Linked DNA regions of Drosophila melanogaster. The protein of the gene in region 2 purifies or fractionates together with the protein of the main gene of each other region. This does not show direct contact. Each region holds a gene or a part of one and is shown on either strand. Other genes may lie near its edges.

Region 1 (6,876 bases), on a different chromosome or scaffold from region 2:
TCACAAGGCTTTCCCAACGCTTTTTCCATAGAATCAGTTGTTGTTTGGGCTGCACAAGCCGGCAATGTAAACAAAACATAAAATATATGAATGGGTGAGTGAGTTGTGCGGGTGTCTGGGTTATTCGACTGCTTCGGCTGAGTGGGTGGCTGTTTTGGGTGGAAATTGGGTGACCCCGATGCACTGGTGTTGGTGCAAATTCGGCAATGCGTGTGCGCTGCGCCTGATGAATGAAAAGTTCGAGTGGCCGCGTGGAAAGCGGGAAAACATCTGAGCGTCAGCTGCACGGTCATATGTTTGATATTATTCCTGTGAAAGCGGAAAATGATTTTGAATATTAAAGGAAATCGATGCGGAAAATGTTTTGGAGTATTTAATAGCCATTAAATGGATAACGTAGATTTTGTCACAGGTTTATAAAATGTAGTTATAGGTAATATATTCACTAAAACAGAAACTGCCTTACACACTTTTAGTATATTGTTTTATTTACTTAAATTACCTAAGTAAATAAAAGTATTTTCAAATTGTTACAAAAAGCACACCCTTTTTTCTATTTTTGTTAATATTTGAATGCCCCACCAATCGATTGAATTTGAAGCCAATTCGTGATTCGGAAAGCGCAGAGTGTCCTGTATTAAATTCAGCCTTGCAGACAAATGCAAAAACCATCGACAGGCCGTGTCAGAAAACACACGAAAATCGAGTGAGCCCCAGAGCAATCGCATTTTAATTTGAATTCTTTCTGGTGAGGCCCTTACAAAAGCCCCCATGCGATGTGCACGACCAAAAAATGAACTTAAGTTTCGGCCAAGAATCTTGTTGAAGAATTTCTATTTGAGCATTTGTCATGTCTTCGCCTTAGTCTATAAAATATACTGTCGGTGGATGGGGACGCGGGGTGTGTGCAAATATGCGAAAGCTAAATGTCAGAGTCAACCCTTTCGCAGGCCATTCTGCCTGCTTTTTTTTCAGCCTTTTCTGGCCGGTGTTGCCGCCTTGGCCCCTTTTTTGGGTGGAAAGGAAAGTTTTTATCTTAAGCTGCGCGCTGACAGGCAGCAAAGCGGCAAGCGAGGCAACACAAGTACAAGCCGGACAAAGAAGCCAGGGGGAGTGGGGATGGGCTGGCCGAACGGAAAATGGGAAATGGAAAATGGACGGGCAACGACAAGGCGGGCAAACGTCAAGTTATAGAAAATGCTAGTGCCTGCACAATAAGAAAAGTGTCATCCGAATTGCTAATCAATGGAATGATGTTGAGGAGACTCAAAAGAAATTTAAAGACCTACTAATAAGAAAAAACTGAAAAATCATTAAGTTTTTAAACTATTCAAACATATTTAAATAATAATTTGTGCAAATTTATTATTGCTTAAAACAACTAAATAAAAATATATAATGTCATTCAAAGTTTCAAAAAAAATTTATTCAATTAAACAAAGGCCATTTTGTATCTTTTCAAAAGTATATGACTTAAAAATAGGTTCATTCATTTTGCTTATGCAAGCTAAGGACTCAGCTTTTTGTCAAAGTGCAGAAAAGGGGAATGAAACTGGTCTTAGAGGGAGAAAAAATTAAAGGACATGCTGAACGCATTCCTTGGGACACGGGCTGACAGTGAGTGATTTGACCATACCCTCATTTGCGTGCAGCAAGGACCAAGATCCGAGCTCTGGGTTCCGGGTTCCGGGGTTCCGACTACCGAGATCCAGGCACACCAATGGATTAATGTGCAAGGATGCGACTCGTCAGGCAGGCCAAGAAAATTACGTCAAGCTACGCAATGGGCCCGTGCCTTTCCCACTGCCCCCCACCACCCCACAACCTAACCAAATCCAACCCAGCCCAGCACAACCCAAACCATTATCCTTTTGGAAATCTGATGATGAGCGCCGACTGCTGCGGGCGGGCGACTCAAAATGGGAGTGACTCATTTACGCGCTGCACTCGAGTTTCAACCGGCAGCCGGCGAAGGAAAAGCGGGACTCCGAGAACTTTTCCAAGCTATTTCTGCGCCCAAATGACAGCGAAATGTAATAATGAAAAACTTTTTCTTTGTCAACTTGATGAGTATGAAATTTTTCACAAAAAAAAAAAAAGAAAAAAGATTAAATAAAATAAAAGACGAGCGGCAAAGGAACGGGTTGAGCTTGGGTGGCAGGGCGGTGAGCTAGAAATATGAAACGTCAGGACTGGTCCTTAGTCTTAGGTTGGCCTTAGTCTTGGTTGGCCTTCGAGATTAGTTATGGCAAAGGAATTTCCAAGCGAAGGCGCACGCAAATGATTGCATGCCGCATTACGCATACGCCCGGTTGTGCGTGGCCGGTTTTAAAATTGAATTTTAATATACAGCAGACACAAAGAGATGTACATGACCATATGTATATGTATATAGCTGATCCCTGGCCATGGCTGCTATAAGCCAGGTTATCCAGCCACCCCGAAAAAACACATGTTCTGCATTTTTACTTTGTACTGGACCAGGACCCACGGTCCATCATCCCTACCATTTTGCTGCTGCACCGCATCGGGGATTGCGGAATTCATAAGCTATGTGCGTTTGCTACAAAAGTGGAATTTTCGCCACGCCAAAGGATACCCGCTTGCAGGCTCCCAGCTCACAGTTCCCACTTCCCGTTTCCTAGATCCTGAGCATGCCATTAACCCACTCGCAAAAAGCGCAAAATCGCTTAAATTATTGTTACAAGCTGCCAGTGCCAAGTGGCAGGCACAGCAACAGCAAAAACAAGAACAAGACCAGGGGGGCAGGTGGCAGGTGGCAGGTGGCACAGGGCAAACCACCTGAGCTTTTGGCCGCGCTTTGCTTTGAGTGCCAGTTAGCATAACTCCGCAGGCCGCAGGCGAATATGTCTGTTGTTGCTGCTTTTGCCGCTTTGCTACTCTCCTGATGTTGGGTGCTGCTCCTGATTTTGCTGTTGCCGTTAGAAGTATTTGTGGCGCGGCAAAGGACATCCTCTCGGCAGCCCGTTCTCACCTGCCTGCCAAGCTGCAAGCTCCAGCTGAAAGTGTCTTTGGTGAGCGCTACCCACCACCTAAATATACAAAGTGTGGGGGAAAAACAAGAAAAATAACAACCTACAATAGTCTCTTCTTTGTTACCTAAAAATATAAGAAAAGCACACCTCGCAATTGTGTTGAAAAAAACAAATTGATACGAAAAAAAGCGATAGGGATGCCACAACAAAGCGCAATCTTATCAAACGTATTAAACATTTTGCTTATCAAAACAGCGAGGTTTGCACAACAATGCGAAATAGGAGGAGGCAAAATTCTTATCTGCATTTCATCAGTCAAACATTTACTGTAATCAAAAATCGCAACTATAAGGAACACAAGTAAAGGCCACAAATGAGAAGCAAATTATTGTTCGATATCCGTGAATTTGAAGGGGAACGTAATGGCCGGTTCCATGACGAACATGGTCTTGAATGGACGGCTGGCATCCCGATTGAACTCCACATGGAAATTGCGAATCAACTTGGCCACTGTGGTCTCCATTTCCAGATCCACCACCCGTTTGCCAATGCACATGCGGGGTCCAAAGCCAAAGGGAAGGAACGTGAAGGGGCTGACCTGCATCTTCTTTCCGGTCTCCGGATCCCTTAACCAGCGCTCCGGCAGAAATTCATCTGGTCGTGGATAATATGTAGCTTCCTTCATCAGCACATTTGAGCCGAGCAGGACAGTCGTTCCCTTGGGCACCCGGTAACCCGAAAGTATCACATCATTTTGGCAGGTTCTCATGGTTCCCAAGCCATTGGGATAGTATCGCAGTGTCTCCTTGATCACAGCCCTCAAATATGGCATATCCTTCATGTTCTCCTCGTTGAGTAGGGAATCCTTTGTGGGCATGATGCTCAAGAGCTCCTCCCGCAGTTTGGCCTGCTTATCCGGATGCTTTGAGAGGCAGAGTAAAACAGCCGACAGAAGCGTGGCTGTGGCATCCACACCAGCGAATAGGATGTCCAGACTCATAATCACCGCCACCTTGGGATCGATCTCCATTAATCTCTCCAGCATACTGTTACTATTTATTTTTTCGCCAGCCTGGCGGCGCTTTTCCAGTGCATCCTGATTTTCCTTCAGCATTTTCTGGGCCACATTCAAACTGTCATTGAGAGTTCGCTTCATTTTCCTGTAGGTGGGCGTCGATATGATCTTCCACATGGAGGGCTGAATGTCTAGCTTAAATGTGAGACGGAAAATATCCCTCGAGGTCTGGAAGAGGGTCAATGCATCGGAATTATCGCGGTTTTTTCTAATCAGACCCATTTGCCGATCGAAAGCCACCAGGCCGAGTGACTCGAAAACAAGCCGGCTTATTTCATCCGTAAAATCTTCGGGGACTTCTAGAGTTTTTGGATCGCGGATTTCCTTAATGCTGCACAGTAAAATGGAATTTATTGCTATATATAAATAACAATTCAATAACAAAAATTTCTTACCGCTCTATAAACTCATTATTGATATTAGACAATGGTTCATAATACATTCTCAAGCCCCTGGGTTGCATAAAGATGGGATTAATGGCTGATCGTAGTTTTCCCCATGCCTCATTTTGTCTGAAATATTCAAATTCAATTGTTTCCTTGCTACTTATTAGATTTTATACTCACGAAGCCACCAATCCTTGAACCTCACCGTAAACATCTGGTCGAACGTGTTCGCGGAAATATACAATGGAATCCAGGCCATCACGACGTGGCCAGATACCCTCGTTGCGGAATACCATCTCAATGTCCTTTGTGTTGAAAGTGGTGACCCAATCCTTGCGGCCAAACATTCCGGGCATTACATAGATATCTCCATAGCGCTTTCGCATGGCACTGGTGTATTCCGTAATCGATGCATTTTGGAATTCACCACCGGGCATGAAAGCCCTCATAAATTTGAATTTGTTGGGCCGCGGAATCTCATCGTAGGTCTTGTGCTCCTCCGTTATCTATAATTGGAAACTAATAACATGATAAATCTATTTCGACTGGATTTTGTGCATACTAACACTAGATTTAGCTTGTTCATGTGCCAAAACGGAGGCTGATCTTGAAGATCGAACGGGACCCACGTAAATCGCCACAGATCGCGCACTGCTCAATGTATTCATTCTATTCCTTTTGGTGATCAACTGCAACTAAAAACAGTTCCACTTTCGAGAACGTTCTTATACCAAAGGCTTATCTCTAAAACGTAGAAAAGAGAGGAGAGCGAATAACTTGAAATGCTTCAAAATGCAAAAATCTCAAACAAAAACAAAAGCCAGCAAACAAAGCATGAGTTTCATTTTCTTATCAGCTGAACGGTATAATCGCCGTGAATTGCCTACCTCACTCAACTGAAAAAATAAACAAATGAACGTGACTGGCTAGAAAAACAAATTGAGAGCGTTGGAACTTACAATAAATACACCTCAGAGAATTTGATACTACTATTACGACTATTACATACCCGTTACTCATTTAGTGGGATCGCTAGAAAAAAATCTAAAATATTTAAATATTTTTTAAAAATTTATAAGGATTCTAGTTCAACGGTAGACAATTTCAAGATAAATAACCAAATTAAAGAAAAATAAAAACAATTCTTAGAGTTGATCCTTGTTCTCTTTGCATACTGATATTTTATTTATTTTTTATTTTATTTATTTACTGGCGCCGCTTTTCCACAGAGTCCTCGGTGTCCTTTATCATTTTCTGTGAGAACATTAAGATGTCATCGAGAAGACGCATCATCATCCGAAAGTTTGGAGTGGAGATAAATCTCCACATTGATGGCTGTATATTCAATTGAAAGGCATATCTGAACATCGTGCTTCGTGTTTTGGAACACAGTCAATGCATCTGGATCGTCTCGATTTCGACTGATCAAACCCATTGGGCGATCGAAAGCCACCAAGCCAAGGGATTCGAAAACCAGGCGGCATCTCCAGAGTTCTAGCATCTCGAATTTCTTTAATGTTGGAGAAAAAGTAAAACTCAGGTGGACATCGAAATATACAAGTATGAATTAATTCTTAGCGCTCAATGAACTAGTTGTTGAACTCATAATAAGTTTTCAATCCTTTGGGTTGCATAAAAATTGAATTGACGGCTGATCGCATCTTGCCCCACAACGCTGCTTGCCTTAAATTATAGTTTCCAAATTAACTTCCGCTTTTGATATACATATGTAATTATTTGGTAACTTACGCGAATATCAGACCCACACTTTCTCCATAAATGGAAATATGTGATCGAGGGAAAGAAATCCTTTTCCGGCCAAGTTCCCTCACTGCGGAAAACAGTCTCGATATTCTTTGTACTAAATGTGGTGACTCAATCCTTGCGACCAAACATTCCAGGCATTATGAAGATATCACCATAACAACTTCTCATCGCTGCTGCATAATCCAAAATTGAGGCATCGTGAAATTCTCCACCCGGCATAAATGCCCTTGCAAATTCCTGTTTTCTGGGAAGTGGAATGTTCTTATAGGATCTCGCTTCAGTGACTACACTATCGGCTACCTTAATATCCAGATCACATATGTATGTTAGTGGAATACCCGATTGTGGTGATAGTATTTCAACTCACATTGGCCAAAATCTGTGCCTGACTAGAAGATGCCCTCACAAGCTGAATGGATTGCGCATTCTGCGCAATACTCATAGTTAATTTTATTAACTGCTTGCCTAAAATGACAACTGAGCTGGGAAGCCTGCCAAAATGCTTATATAGCATCGCATCCCAAGAGGAATAACAAAACGATTCTCTACAAATTGAAAAGCTGCAATCCAGCATGACTCCTAAGAATTCCCACCATCACAGTGATAGAAAGCGAAATTATTGCCGTAAGTCAAGAAAGCTTGATACTGCTAA
Region 2 (5,784 bases):
AAGAACGATGAGAACGCTCCGCCGATAAGAGCTAGTCCAATTACTATGGCTAATCTTATCGCGGAAGCATAAACCAATGGAACGTGCTACGATAAGCGTTCAGAGCGGCTATATGTGGCTATACCACCCAGAGCTCTTAATGAGAAACGCAACTCTTGGTTGCACTCGAGACGTGGGCAATTACATCACGATTATGCCAAAGCAGCGGCGGCACACACAAAATTCCGATTGATAGTGAGGTTAGGTCGTGTTATGTTCATGCCGCTGCTCCTCCGATTACCAGGCGGCCATGCAGTCTCTCTCACCTTGACGGAGTCCAGCGGATACATGACCACATGCTCCAGCACGCCCGCAATTGCGCCCGCCGTCATATTGACACCCACACTGGTGGTGGGCAGCGATTCGTAGTCGTCGATGTTCATGGTGGATCCGAACGGTTGCCGTCGCTTTCGATTGTTGAGGCTGCTGGTGGGGCTGCACTATCGACTGTGTTGTGTGCTAATGCTGTGGTTGCGCCCTTGCAGTCGCTGCTCCTCTTACGACAACCTGCTAATCCGGACCAGTTCTGCCAAGTCGCTGTTGCAGTTGCTGCTGCAGAGCCGCTTTCTCCGCTGGGATCGGGTCGCTCCGCCTGTCGAGGATCGGCGTTGGTTAGCGGGCAACTCTTGGCCGGCGTATGTCGGGCACTTTTGGTGCAATTTTGTTGTATAACACGGATAACACGACGATTCACGGACGCACGGGCGGGTGTATTTCGGGGGGTGGTGCTGCTGGCGGAGGCGGCGGCGGTGGCGGTGGTGGTGCAGAGTGTACGCGTGAGGTGGTCTTATGCGAAACTGCTAATTGACACTGCTGTTGCACGACTAGCATACAGACGACATAGAGACGATTCCCCGATTCAACGATTCACGCGAGGAAGCAATTTCTGGTTTAGTTGCTCGCGGCTAAGCTGCTGCTGCTGGAGTGGCGGCTGCGGATCGGTTGTTTTATGAATATATAAGAGTCGGTTTGTGGCCGAAGCGGAATTTTGGCTGGGTCGGTGTTTGGCAACTGACGCAAATGTTGTATGATTACAGCGAATCATTAAATTTCGCCCAATAAACAAGCCTCGTGCCCAGAGTGACCGCAGCGGGAACGTCGCAAAATACCAAAATGGCTCGGGTGAAAATACCAGCACAAGTCCACCCACATGTGGGTGCGGAACCTTAACGCCATGGCAAATAAAAATACCAACATTAAAATATTTAACTTAACATTGTAAAATAAACCGAACGGTACAAAATCATATGTTATATATTCTAAAACGAAATGGATTTCCTTGATCTCTGTCAGGAATTTATATTTTATTTCAATTCATATTTTTATCATTACTTTGCTATATCAATAAGTTCTCAGTTATCTATTTTGGCAGCTTAAAAATTGTATATACACGAAGTTGTTGTGCAACCGACCGAAGAATTTATTATTTTAAAGCTTAGTTGTTGTATACATGAAAAGATACTAATTTGTTTCAAATATAAATCATATATCTACCGGCCTAAGTGTTCCCTTTTGTAAACTATTGATATAAGAATGTAAATTATCAAATTAAATATATTTAACAGTAGAGTTTTGACACTACATCCTCTTGTAAACTAAATCCCAAATAGATTCTATGAATGTATGGGCTTTCAAATAAGCAAACATTAAATTTATTTAAATTACACTATTTTCGTGCTCTGTGCTGTATATATATCCTATTTCCAGTGCAGCCCCTGGTATTTCCTTCCAATGCGCTTAGAATGTTCCAGCGCCGGAATACGGTCACTCTGCGAGGCATTTAAAGGCCTTCCAGCCGCTTGTCGGCGTCAGTAAAAAAAAATCAAAGCAGGCGACGCAAGTGCGGACTAATTTATTGCATCTGTTATTCGTGACGTGGCCTTTCGCCGGACGAACCGATAGCTCGAGCTCCGTAAATCAAGCTACCAAAGATCATGAAGTACTTTTTGCTGGTGGGCCTGCTGCTCCTAGCAGGTAAGTGTGCACATTTGCCACGCCGCATTGAACCGGTGTTTTAACCTAATTATTAATTGGCGTCTGATTCGCGTCTGATTAGGCATCAATCAAATAGCCGCCGATGACGAGGCCGCCACAACGGAGACCATCGACCTTGATCTGGGCTCCTTCAAGGAGGGCTCCCGCACCGGTACGTAGACACGCCCCCCTCTCGCGACGACGAGTTTTGTTTGGTACACGTCAGCGTTGCGATAACCGCCCCCTTTTTCTAATTCCCAATCCCCCAGATGCCGAGACCCTGAAGCGCGAGGAGGAGGCCATCCAGCTGGACGGCCTGAACGTGGCGCAGCTGAAGGAAATTCGCGAGAAGGTGGGTTCATTGCCAGGTCATTTGGAAGGTACACGTATGACCGGGATTTCCTTTCCCTTTTTTCTTTGTCTTTTGTCTGTGCGTGCAGGCGAAGAAGTTTACTTTCCAAACGGAGGTCAACCGCATGATGAAGCTGATTATCAACTCGCTTTACCGCAACAAGGAGATCTTCCTGCGTGAATTGATATCCAACGCCTCCGATGCCATCGACAAGATCCGCCTATTGGCTCTGTCCAACAGCAAGGAGCTGGAAACGAATCCGGAGCTGCACATCCGCATTAAGGCCGACAAGGAGAACAAGGCGTTGCACATCATGGACTCGGGTATCGGCATGACTCACCAGGATCTGATCAATAACCTGGGTACAATTGCCAAGTCCGGCACTGCCGATTTTCTGGCCAAGATGCAGGATCCCAGCAAGTCGGAGGGACTCGATATGAACGACATGATTGGACAGTTCGGTGTGGGCTTTTACTCCGCTTTCTTGGTCGCCGATCGTGTAGTGGTGACCACCAAGCACAACGACGACAAACAGTACATCTGGGAGTCGGATGCCAACAGCTTCAGCATCACCGAGGATCCCCGTGGCGATACTCTGAAGCGAGGATCCGTGATCTCGCTGTATCTGAAGGAAGAAGCCCAGGACTTCCTGGAGGAGGACACCGTGCGCGAGCTCATCCGCAAGTACTCGCAGTTCATCAACTTCCCCATCCGCATGTGGTCCAGCAAGACCGTCGAGGAGGAGGTGCCCGTGGAGGAGGAGGCCAAGCCCGAGAAGAGCGAGGATGACGTGGAGGATGAGGACGCCAAGGTCGAGGAGGCCGAAGATGAGAAGCCCAAGACCAAAAAGGTTTCGAAGACCACCTGGGACTGGACCCTGATCAACGACAGCAAGCCCATCTGGACGCGCAAGCCCGCCGAAGTGACCGAGGATGAGTACACTAGCTTCTACAAGAGCCTGACCAAGGACTCCAGCGAGCCCCTGACCCAGACGCACTTCATCGCCGAGGGCGAGGTGACCTTCAAGAGTTTGCTCTACGTGCCCAAGGTGCAGCCATCGGAGTCCTTCAACCGCTACGGCACCAAGTCCGACAACATTAAGCTGTACGTGCGCCGTGTTTTCATCACCGACGAGTTCAACGACATGATGCCCAACTACCTGAGCTTCATTCGTGGCGTCGTCGACTCCGACGATCTGCCCCTGAACGTTTCCCGCGAAACTCTGCAGCAGCACAAGCTCATCAAGGTGATCAAGAAGAAGCTGGTCCGCAAGGTTCTCGATATGCTGAAGAAGATCGACAAGGAGGCGTATGAGAAGTTCTGGAAGGAGTTCTCCACCAAGTAAGTGTCGCTTTCTAGGAATTAAGAAACGTTCTTTGCCTGTTCAAATAATTAGTTATTTATGATAAGCATTTCCGCAGAATCCATTATAATATGGAGAATAGAATGACGTGTATTATTTTTTGCCAACAAATTAATATATTTAGTTTGTTGCTTTAAAGAATTCCGCGCTGATAAGATAAGGAAATCCACGTAGTATTATAATATTGGCACTGGTGACGTGTAGAGTTTATACTTAAATATTTTATTTTAGTTAAATAAGCATTTCCATTAGCTATAACCTCGAATTCTTGGATTTTCGTTGCTTATCAAGACTTAATTGACTCATTTCAGCATCAAATTGGGCGTGATGGAGGATCCCAGCAACCGATCGCGTCTCGCCAAGCTGCTCCGCTTCCAGACCTCCAACGGCAAGGGCGTCACCTCGCTGGCGGAGTACAAGGAGCGCATGAAGGCCAAGCAGGAGCACATCTACTACATCGCTGGTGCCAACCGCGCTGAGGTCGAGAAGTCGCCGTTCGTCGAGCGTCTGCTGAGCAAGGGATACGAGGTGCTGTATCTGGTGGAGGCCGTCGACGAGTACTGCATCTCCGCGCTGCCCGAGTTCGATGGCAAGAAGTTCCAGAACGTGGCCAAGGAGGGATTCCAGCTGAACGAGTCCGAGAAGAGCAAGAAGAACTTCGAGTCGCTAAAGAGCACCTTCGAGCCGCTGGTCAAGTGGCTGAACGATGTGGCACTCAAGGATCAGATCTCCAAGGCCCAGGTTTCCGAGCGTCTGAGCAACTCGCCATGCGCCCTCGTGGCCGGCGTCTTCGGCTGGACCGGCAACATGGAGCGTCTGGCCATGTCCAACGCCCACCAGAAGTCCGACGATCCTCAGCGCACCTACTACCTCAACCAGAAGAAAACGCTCGAGATCAATCCCAGGCATCCGCTGATGCGCGAGCTGCTGCGCCGCGTGGAGGCCGACGAGGCCGATGACACCGCCAAGGACATGGCTGTGATGATGTTCCGCACCGCCACCCTGCGGTCTGGATACATGCTCCAGGAGACTTCGCAGTTCGCCGACAGTATTGAGCAGATGATGCGCCAGACCTTGGGTGTCTCCCAAGACGAGCAGGTGGAGTTCGACGAGGAGGAGGAGGATGATGCCGAGGAGACCGCCACCGGCAGCCAGGAGAGCGGCAACGCCGATGATGAGGAGGAGGAGCAGCAGCACGACGAGCTGTAAACTACTTCACCTCACCCACTGTCCAAATAGATTGTACATAAGAGTGTGAAGTTCAGACTGAGTTTTAAACCGCCACCGGGTGGCCGGGCGGGCACTCCATCAACATTACACGCTAGATTCTAAGTAAAATAATTTCGTAGTCCTTCGCCCACGCCGTCATCACCGCCAGTCGCCCAGAGAGCACTCCACCATTTCAGCCAGCACACTTGGTTGCTCAAGCGTTTTCTTTTTTCGAAAGCAAGTGAATTATGTATTTATACAATGTAATATGCTTAGTACACAACAGATTCCAATCAAAACAAATAAAGACAAATGAATTTAAAACTAAAACAACTGCCTATTTAATATGGCGCGCAATGTAAAATTTCCGCAATCGGATACCAAAAAATAGTTAAAAAGTGAATTGATTGCTCGATCAGTCAAGATCGGAACTCAGCGGCTCATCGTTCAGGGCCCTCAAGTAGGTGTTGTACTTCATCTGGTCGCGGATCTGCTGCACGGCCTCCGATTGGGACAGCGTGTATGTGTCCATAAAGAGGCGCACTATCCACAGCGGGAGCAGTCCGTTCACCAGCAGCGACGTGTGGTTCTGGTAATCGGGACATGTTAGGATGGATATGTGTGTCACTCCAGGACGCCCCAAACTTACGCTTCGACTGCTGTAGACCTCGCCCAGTTTCTTGAGCATCTGCTGGTGAATGCTCTTGCTCAGTATGTCGATGACGTCCATGTGGGCAATGTTCATGTAGTGACTGGTGCGCGGCTTGAACTCGCGCTCCTTGAACAGCTTATCGAAGTCGCTGCGATAGTTTTCGAACGTATTCAGCACCTCGTCCTCGCCCATTTT

The links.
Region 1: the proteins of Gp93 (region 2) and Cyp12d1-p purify together in Drosophila melanogaster (affinity purification with mass spectrometry, with the first as the bait; one large-scale study listed by BioGRID). This does not show direct contact.

Annotation. Positions count from the first base shown.
Region 1 is NT_033778.4:11,116,724-11,123,599, forward strand, and holds Cyp12d1-p (cytochrome P450 12d1 proximal), read right to left. Parts: upstream 5,162-6,876; 5' UTR 5,126-5,161; coding exon 5,024-5,125; intron 4,964-5,023; coding exon 4,638-4,963; intron 4,584-4,637; coding exon 4,467-4,583; intron 4,403-4,466; coding exon 3,382-4,402; 3' UTR 502-3,381; downstream 1-501.
Region 2 is NT_033777.3:27,946,889-27,952,672, forward strand, and holds Gp93 (glycoprotein 93), read left to right. Parts: upstream 1-1,822; 5' UTR 1,823-1,973; coding exon 1,974-2,013; intron 2,014-2,095; coding exon 2,096-2,185; intron 2,186-2,282; coding exon 2,283-2,365; intron 2,366-2,453; coding exon 2,454-3,706; intron 3,707-4,039; coding exon 4,040-4,937; 3' UTR 4,938-5,263; downstream 5,264-5,784. Other genes in the region: mfrn (mitoferrin), read right to left, coding at 306-422; CG4951 (uncharacterized protein), read right to left, coding at 5,353-5,526, 5,587-5,784.